Sus scrofa: one gene and its partner. The protein of the gene in region 1 interacts with the protein of each later gene in a biochemical or structural test. Links are inferred from orthologs where the notes say so. Each region holds a gene or a part of one and is shown in the gene's direction. Other genes may lie near its edges.

The links.
Region 2: the proteins of CRHR1 (region 1) and MAGI2 form a complex in vitro, tested with the Homo sapiens proteins (2 studies listed by BioGRID and IntAct, with this or other methods). The link is inferred for Sus scrofa from reciprocal best matches to the Homo sapiens genes CRHR1 and MAGI2.

The regions. Positions count from the first base shown.
Region 1 is NC_010454.4:17,257,779-17,261,584, reverse strand, and holds part of CRHR1 (corticotropin-releasing factor receptor 1), read left to right. Parts: intron 1-1,747; coding exon 1,748-1,854; intron 1,855-2,664; coding exon 2,665-3,146; intron 3,147-3,436; coding exon 3,437-3,497; intron 3,498-3,806.
Region 2 is NC_010451.4:100,845,749-100,849,644, forward strand, and holds the start of MAGI2 (membrane-associated guanylate kinase, WW and PDZ domain-containing protein 2), read left to right. Parts: upstream 1-944; 5' UTR 945-1,463; coding exon 1,464-1,764; exon of another isoform or gene 1,765-2,116; intron 2,117-2,453; exon of another isoform or gene 2,454-2,617; intron 2,618-3,896. UniProt on the Homo sapiens protein: Seems to act as a scaffold molecule at synaptic junctions by assembling neurotransmitter receptors and cell adhesion proteins. Plays a role in nerve growth factor (NGF)-induced recruitment of RAPGEF2 to late endosomes and neurite outgrowth.

The DNA.
Region 1 (3,806 bases):
CATCTTTGGCCAGGGGCTCAAAGATCCCCCCACCCTGATTTATAGGACACAGCGGATACTCTGCCCCCCGCCCCAACGCCCGCCTCTCTCCCGACTGCCTCCATTTACACCTTGCTGGGTCTCAGCCCTTCAGAGCCTGAGCTGCTAATGTGATTTTGTCATGTTCCTGAAAGCCTCTTCCAGGAAAACCCACCCCTAGAAGAGCTGCCTGGGCCTTTGGGACCTTAGGGCTTCTTCGGTGAGGACACCCCTTCAGAAGGGGTGTGCCAGGGGCTGGAGGCAGGGAGCACCTCGCCCCTTCTCAGATGCCTGGTGGTTGTCCCGCCATGGAAGTACATCCCTTGTCCTCGGGTGGGTGAATCTGGGCCTCAGTTTCCTCATCTGAAAGATGGGTGGAGCTGGACTAGATCCTTTGGGACCAGCTCCGATGTCCCCAGATTTTGTAATTCTGACAGGAGGGTCCACAGAGAGCCAGGAGCTCTGGTGGGTCTGAAAGGGTGAACAGGTCTGTGAGCTGGGCTTGTTCTCAGCCAGTTTCTGTGCCCCGTCATGCCCAGGCCCCACCCCAGAACCTGGAAAGGGTAAGGGAGGGAGGGGTTCACAGAGACACGCCCCCCCACCGCACCCCTCCGCCCCGGAAACCAGCTGCTTTCCAGCATCCGTTTTTCCCTTCCCCCCACCCGTTGGCGGGTCCACCTTGCACCATACTCTGGCTCTCTAGCTCCTGTTGCTGTCTCGGGACAGGAGTCTGTGAGAGCTGGGCACTGGGGACCACCAGTTTCCTGCCTCAGCATCTTCCACCCTGCACATGAAGGTGAGAGGTGGTTTGAAGTTGAGTGATAATGATCTTGAATGAGTCCTTGTACTTCTGGGCCTGTTTTTCTGCAAAACAAGGTGCAGATCCCCTACCAGCTCTTTCCCTGGCATTGCTTGAGGGTTTGAGCAGACAGCAGGTATGAAAATACTCTGTAAACGTGAAGGCTTCAACACTCGAGCGAACATTGATTGGAAAGGGGGGACCGTAGCGTTTCCCAGCTTCCATCAGCATGTGAAAGGAATTAAGTCATAACATTGGGGACTTCGTTTTAGTCTTGAGAGAGGACCCCATTGACTTGGCGCAGACCCCTTGGGCCAGAGGTAGAACCTGGGAAGCCAGTTATGGAGCCTAGAGAGTTTTTGGGGTTTGGGTTTTGTTTGTTTTTTTTTTTAATGGTTTCTAATGATTCTGTGGATGTTGATCCATAGCACCTGCCCTTCCCTCTCCTCACTGGTAGGACAGCCTTCGACCGCAGCAGGAAGGATTTAGGGGTGATCAAGAAGATCGTGGCTCAACACAGAGATGGGAGGAGAAGTCCTAGAGGGTTGTGTCTGCCCTACAAGGGCCACCTGGTGTCCAGACCGAATGGAAATGTAGTTGTGAGAGCCTGTCTGTGAGCCGTGCCGGCACGTTTGTGCCTGCGGAGGGAGGAAGCCTGTGTGATGTGCTAAGTCAAGTTGACTGATACTTGTCTAACCGTGCAGAGCAGTGCGCAGAGCGTGGGATTCAGGAGCAGACAGACACAGTCTCAAACTGGACTGCCCTGCTCTAGGGCAATGCCTGACGCTTAGTAGGGGCTCAGGAGGGGGGAGCTCTTGGTGTTGTTGCCCACACTGTTGGGGGCACTTGTGGGGGGCTGACCTCACTGTCGAGTGGGCATAGGGCTGTAACCATGCGGAAGCCTCACGCCTGCCCTCTCTCCTGCCTCAGAAGAAGAGCAAGGTGCACTACCATGTGGCTGTCATCATCAACTACCTGGGCCACTGTGTCTCCCTGGTGGCCCTCCTGGTGGCCTTTGTCCTCTTTCTGCGGCTGAGGTGAGGAGCCCTGTCCCTGCTCCCTGTCCCCCATCCCACCTCCCAGAGCCTTGAGCAGGGGTGAGAAGAGGCAGGAGGCAGTTCTAAGCAGGGGGCTGCCAGGAAGGGAGTCCCCAGCCTAGAGCTGCCCCCTCACCCCAGTGGGAGGAGGTGACAGATATAGGTGTCCCAGGTCCTTTGGAACCTCTGGCAGGGCTGCTTCTGTACCCCTGCCCAGTGATTGCAGCAGAGAGGTGGACAGCCAAAGCCTAGGCTGGCCTTGTGTCACCCACACCCATGCCAGGCTGCCCCCATTTGGGAGACCAGGAAGGTGGAGCCCCCTTTGGGTTGGAACCTGCCTGGGACTGGCATGACTGCCAGGGATGCAGGTGGCAGCACCAGACGGGTCAGTGCCGGGAGTGGGGGGGTGGGAGCAGGGCCTGAGCACCAGGGCCGAGAGCTGGGAGGGAGGCCTCTCTCCGGAGGCCTTTCATGTTTTCTGACCCTCAAGCCTGGAGCTACAGGGAGAGAGGGGAGCTCAGGGGAGAGGGGCCATCCCTGGTCAGCAAGCAGCCCCTAGTCCCCATGGCATTGGCTGTGTGGCAGGCTCTGCCCTGGAGCTTAGGTCTGGATCCGCCACAGTTGGGAAGGGACCAGTGGGGCAGCAGGAGCGCCTCTGCTGCCACCTCCCAGTGGAACTTGGCAGGCAACGCTGCTCTGAGCCTCTGTTTCCCTGTCCATACACCTGGGCTGGAGCGAGCTGGTGGCCTCGCTCTCTCCTTCGCTTTCCTCCCCTTCCTCCTGTCACCCACCCTCCCTCGCTGCCCCCAGGAGCATCCGGTGCCTGAGGAACATCATCCACTGGAACCTCATCTCAGCCTTCATCCTGCGCAACGCCACGTGGTTCGTGGTCCAGCTCACCATGAGCCCCGAAGTCCACCAGAGCAACGTGGTGTGTCCAGGAGGGACGGGCCCAGGGGCAGAGGGAGGGTCTGGGTGGGGCTGTCCTGGAGGAGGAGGGGCCAGAGCCAGGCCTTGGAGCCCACAGAACAGGATTCCAAGGGGCAGGGGGTCCCCCAGGCCAGGTGGGCTGCTGCTGCCCCCCTACTCTGTGCCCCACTCCTGGCTCATCGTCACCTCTGATGGGGGTGGGTGGCAGGGCTGGTGCAGGTTGGTGACAGCCGCCTACAACTATTTCCATGTGACCAACTTCTTCTGGATGTTCGGCGAGGGCTGCTACCTGCACACGGCCATCGTGCTCACGTATTCCACAGACCGGCTGCGCAAGTGGATGTTTATCTGCATTGGCTGGGGTGAGCAGGCCACCCCCTGCCCCGGCCAGCCATCCTCTTCTTGCCCAGACTCAGGCCAGCCAGCTGGGGGCCTGAGACCCAAGCCAGGTTAGGGTGGTGGGGTGTGCACACAGCCCTCTGCCATTACTTGAGGGTGGGGATGGCGGGAACATTAGAAGGAGCCGTATTGGGTGAGTACTGGGGGGGAGGGGGCCTGCCGCCTCTGGGCACTGGGCTGCCCTGGGGTCCTCCAGGCTCTGCATCCCCCAGACCCCACCGATGGGTCCTGTGACAGCCGGTCTCTCCCCCAGGTGTGCCTTTCCCCATCATCGTGGCCTGGGCCATTGGGAAGCTGTACTATGACAATGAGAAGTAAGTTACTTCTTGGAGTTCCCATTGTGGCTCAGCTGGTTAAGGACCCAACGTAGTGCCCATGAGGATGTGGGTTCAATCCCTGGCCTTGCTCAGTGGGTTAAGTATCTGGCATTGCTGCGAGCTGCAGTGTAGGTTGCAGGCGCCACTCAGATCCTGCATTGCTGTGGCTGTGGTGTAGGTCAGCAGCTGCAGCTCCGATTCTACCCCTAGTCTGGGAACTTCCATATGATGCAGGTGCGGCCCTAAAAAGAAAAAAAAAATTTCCTGCCTTCTCTGCACTGCTCTGGGGGACCCCTGACTCCCAAG
Region 2 (3,896 bases), on another chromosome or scaffold:
AGTAAACTTAGGGTTTCTCCCTGGTCCCAGCTAGGCTGAGGGTGCCTCGCTCCAGGGCGTGCCCCACGGTCTCGCCGCAGATCCCGCGCGAAACTGCCAGGCTCTCTGAGGAAGCGGCTGACGCCGGCCGCCCGCACCCCCTCCCCGCATCCCCTTTCCTCCGGCTTCTCCGGACTAGGAAAAGTGGAACCGGTTCCTCTTGGTGCCCGGAATCGCCTTTCATCAGATAGCCCTTTGCTAAGTTCCCGTCTGCACCTGAGGGTGGGACGCTGCTTCCCCTTACCCGGCTGACAGGAAAACCAGCCCGGAGTTCACTAACTTTGCGCTCCTCTGAGGGGGTATGCTGAGAACTCTGCGGAGTCTGACTGAAACGTGAGGAGACAAAGCCCGTCTAAACAGTGAACTCCGACGCCTCCACCCGCCTCGCAGCGCAGAGGCCTTCTTCACCGACTGCACGCCGGGTGGGTCCCACAGCTCGGCTCTTTCTCATGCCAGCATCCCGCGCCGGGAGGCTAGCGGCGCACGAGCCGCAGCACGAGCACTGGGCGCGAGGAAGACCACTATTTCTGCTCCAACACCCAGGTCCGAGGAAGTCTGAACGTCCTCAGTACAGCAACCCAGCGGGCCGCTCGGCCGCTGGGAGGCTGAAGAAACGTCCGCACTGGGCTCGCGGCCCTTCCTGCCAGCCTCCCCACTCCGGGCCTCGGCTCCCTCCTTTCCCGCTCCCGCCTCCTCTCGTAGGCTGCCAGGCGGACCCAGCCAGCCTCTTTCTCAGCCTTCACTACCGGGTCAAGCCGCGGAGGGAGGGAGCGGAGACAGCAGCGAAGCAGCTCCCCACCCGGCGCGCGCGCGCCCCTCCTCCCCCTCCAGCCCGCTCCCTCCCCCTCCTCTGCCCTCTGCCTCCTCCCCTGCTGCCAGTACATTACAACTAGTACGCGCGCACACATACACACGCACACGCGCGCGGACCCTGCCGCTGCCACTGCAGCTACCATGGATATCAGCTAACAACACACACTCAGGCGCGCGCGCGCGCGCTCCCACTCGCACCACGCAGGAGTGGCCCCCGGCATCCCTACCCTCCTTCCCCACCCCCACCCCACCCGCTCACCAGCTCGGCTACTGCTCGCACAGGCTGCCGTCGCCGTCGCTGCCGCCACCACCACCACCACCACCACCACAGCTCTTCTCCGCTGCGGGGCCACAGCCTTGAGTGTCATTCAAGGGACAGCACAACCTTACCCAAGCTCTCCTACCTCTGCCCAGCGGTCCCTGTCATCCTCCCCCTTCCTCGTCCACACTCCATCCAAAGAAGAGGGAAAGCACCGAACAGAGAGAGGAGCAAGGCAAAGTCTGCTCTTCTCACCTCTCGGCCCCCTGGCTCCTCCATCCTCATTCTCGCAGCACCAACTCCCCTATCCTAAAGGAAGCCCTCAGAGGCTGAGGCGACTCACCCCACTGCCATGTCCAAAAGCTTGAAAAAGAAAAGCCATTGGACTAGCAAAGTCCATGAGAGTGTCATTGGCAGGAACCCCGAGGGCCAGCTGGGCTTTGAATTGAAGGGGGGTGCCGAGAATGGACAGTTCCCCTACCTGGGAGAGGTGAAGCCCGGCAAGGTGGCCTATGAGAGCGGCAGCAAGTTGGTGTCGGAGGAACTGCTTCTGGAAGTGAACGAGACCCCCGTGGCGGGGCTCACCATCAGGGATGTGCTGGCCGTGATCAAACACTGCAAGGACCCCCTCCGGCTCAAGTGTGTCAAGCAAGGTGAGCGCAGCGGCTGGCTCTGTGCTTTGCCAGGAGGCTGGACCGCCCGAAGCGCGGGGCACAATAGAAGGGTGGGCTCGCGTGTGGAAGGGGGTGTGTTGCGCGACAGTAGGGTGAGGTCGTGAGTCCGGCAGAGCAAGTGAGCTTTGCCGGGGATCCGGGGGGGGAGGAGGGGGTCAGTGGAAGGGAGGGGCGGGTTGCGGTGTGGTGTGCAACTTTGTTTGCGCAGTTACCCCCCCTCCCCTTTGGAAGGTGTTCGGCCTTGTCTGAGCTCGGAGGTGCTGGCGAGCTCCTGGGACAATTGAATGTGCGTCAGCTGCACGGCTCGCAGTGGTTGTTGAGCTTTTAGGGAAGGAAGGACGGAAGGAAGGAGGAAAAGGCATGAGAGAGGAAGGAGCAAGTTGAAGGTGCAGTGGCATCATCAGCAGAGCCGGGAGGAGTAGGGGGTGGCGGGGCGAGTGGAGGACTGCGGGCTCCGTTTAGGGAGCTGGACCGAAGACGCCTCGGTCAGAAGCCCGGTCCCCTGGGGATTTCTGGGACGCTAGTTGACAGAGAAGAGAAAGGGCAGATTGCTTCGAGCGCTTTGACGGGTCTTCCTTAACTTTTTCTCTGCCTCACTCCTCTCTCCCCCCTCCCCCGCCCTCGGTCGCGTCATGTGGGCACCGCGCGTCACGTGCGCACTGACTAACCCGAGCGCTCACCCGGAGCTGGCCTGCGGGAGGTGGGTCCGGAGGGAGGCACCGCACTAGCTGCAAGTTCTAGTGTTGAGGGTCGGAGGGAGAGACGTGGTTACCGGAATGTTCTTTACAATGAAGTTGCCTTCTTTGAGTGGAAGTTCTCCTGGTTGGACTCTCCTCTTGCTTCCGATTGGGGGGAGGGGGGGCGTGTTTCTGAAGAGGAGCTGGAAAAGCCAGCTGGTTACAACTCAGACTCCTTCAGCTGCAGCCGGTTTAGACGAGCCTCAATTGAAAACTGCTGTTGGTGGGGACTTAAGGAAACTAGGATCTTGCAGAACTCTCACAGACTTTGCTCAAAAGCAAATTATAGTCCTGGAGGAGGAAAGAATGAGATAAAAATTTCTTGGAAAGAGGACAACTTCAGTTAAAGTAGCGTTATCTTTGTTTTCTACATGGGATTGCATACGTTTTGTAGTTCACATTCACATTTCATATGTGGCATGCATGTATATGTGCATATCACATCAATCTAAGGGTTTGTTATTGGTGATATGTTGTTTGTCCTGCCTTAAAGATGGAATTGAGTGGATCATTGCCTGCATTTTGAACAACTACTTAATTTTACTGCATGATTAACAATCAAGAAACATTCTTGGTTGAGAATGATAGGGAGATACTCTTCTCTGTAAAACCAGTTTTAGAAGTGAACCAGTGAAAAATGAAATTTCAGACAAACTTTCTTAAATGTAAATTGCCATTCAAAAATTTTTTTCTCTGGGGGAAAATATTAAGTATTAATAGCTGATGACGTATTAATATTGAGTATTAATAGCTGATGACTTGATAATAGCTAATGTGAACATTGACTTGTAGGTCAGCATAGCTCAATACCATATAAAACTGAAGAATATGAGTTTGATACTAAGGCAAATAGCATATCTTGATATTTTTCAAGATGACATCCCAGAGGCTCAAGTGTAGGCATTCATATTAACATATTTGATGTCATGATACTATCTTAGAGCAATAGGTATAAATGTAAAGTTTTGGTTTTGAGCCCAAAAATCTATAGCACAATTAATGATGTTGGTCTGGTTGGCAGCCTATTTGGTAGTGCAAAGTGGCTGCAAACTTCAACGCATTGTTAAATTGGGCTAATGATAGTATCCTAATAAGGGAGGTAATTCTATTATAGTTTGTAATTATGACCACATATTAATGTACTCATTCTAAACACTGCATTTTGAGATGGAGCTCTGCAAACTGTAACTCTAGCATCAAGAAAAGAAAAAAGAAAGGGAAATTTTTGGGGTATTGTCAATCTATATTCTATAAAATCCAGTGGAAAGACTCAGGTGAAGTTATGAAAACTATCATTAAATATTGAAAAGCTATCAGTAAGAAAAGGAATTCTGACTATCCCGTGACACTCTATAGGTAAAAACTAAGATGAAT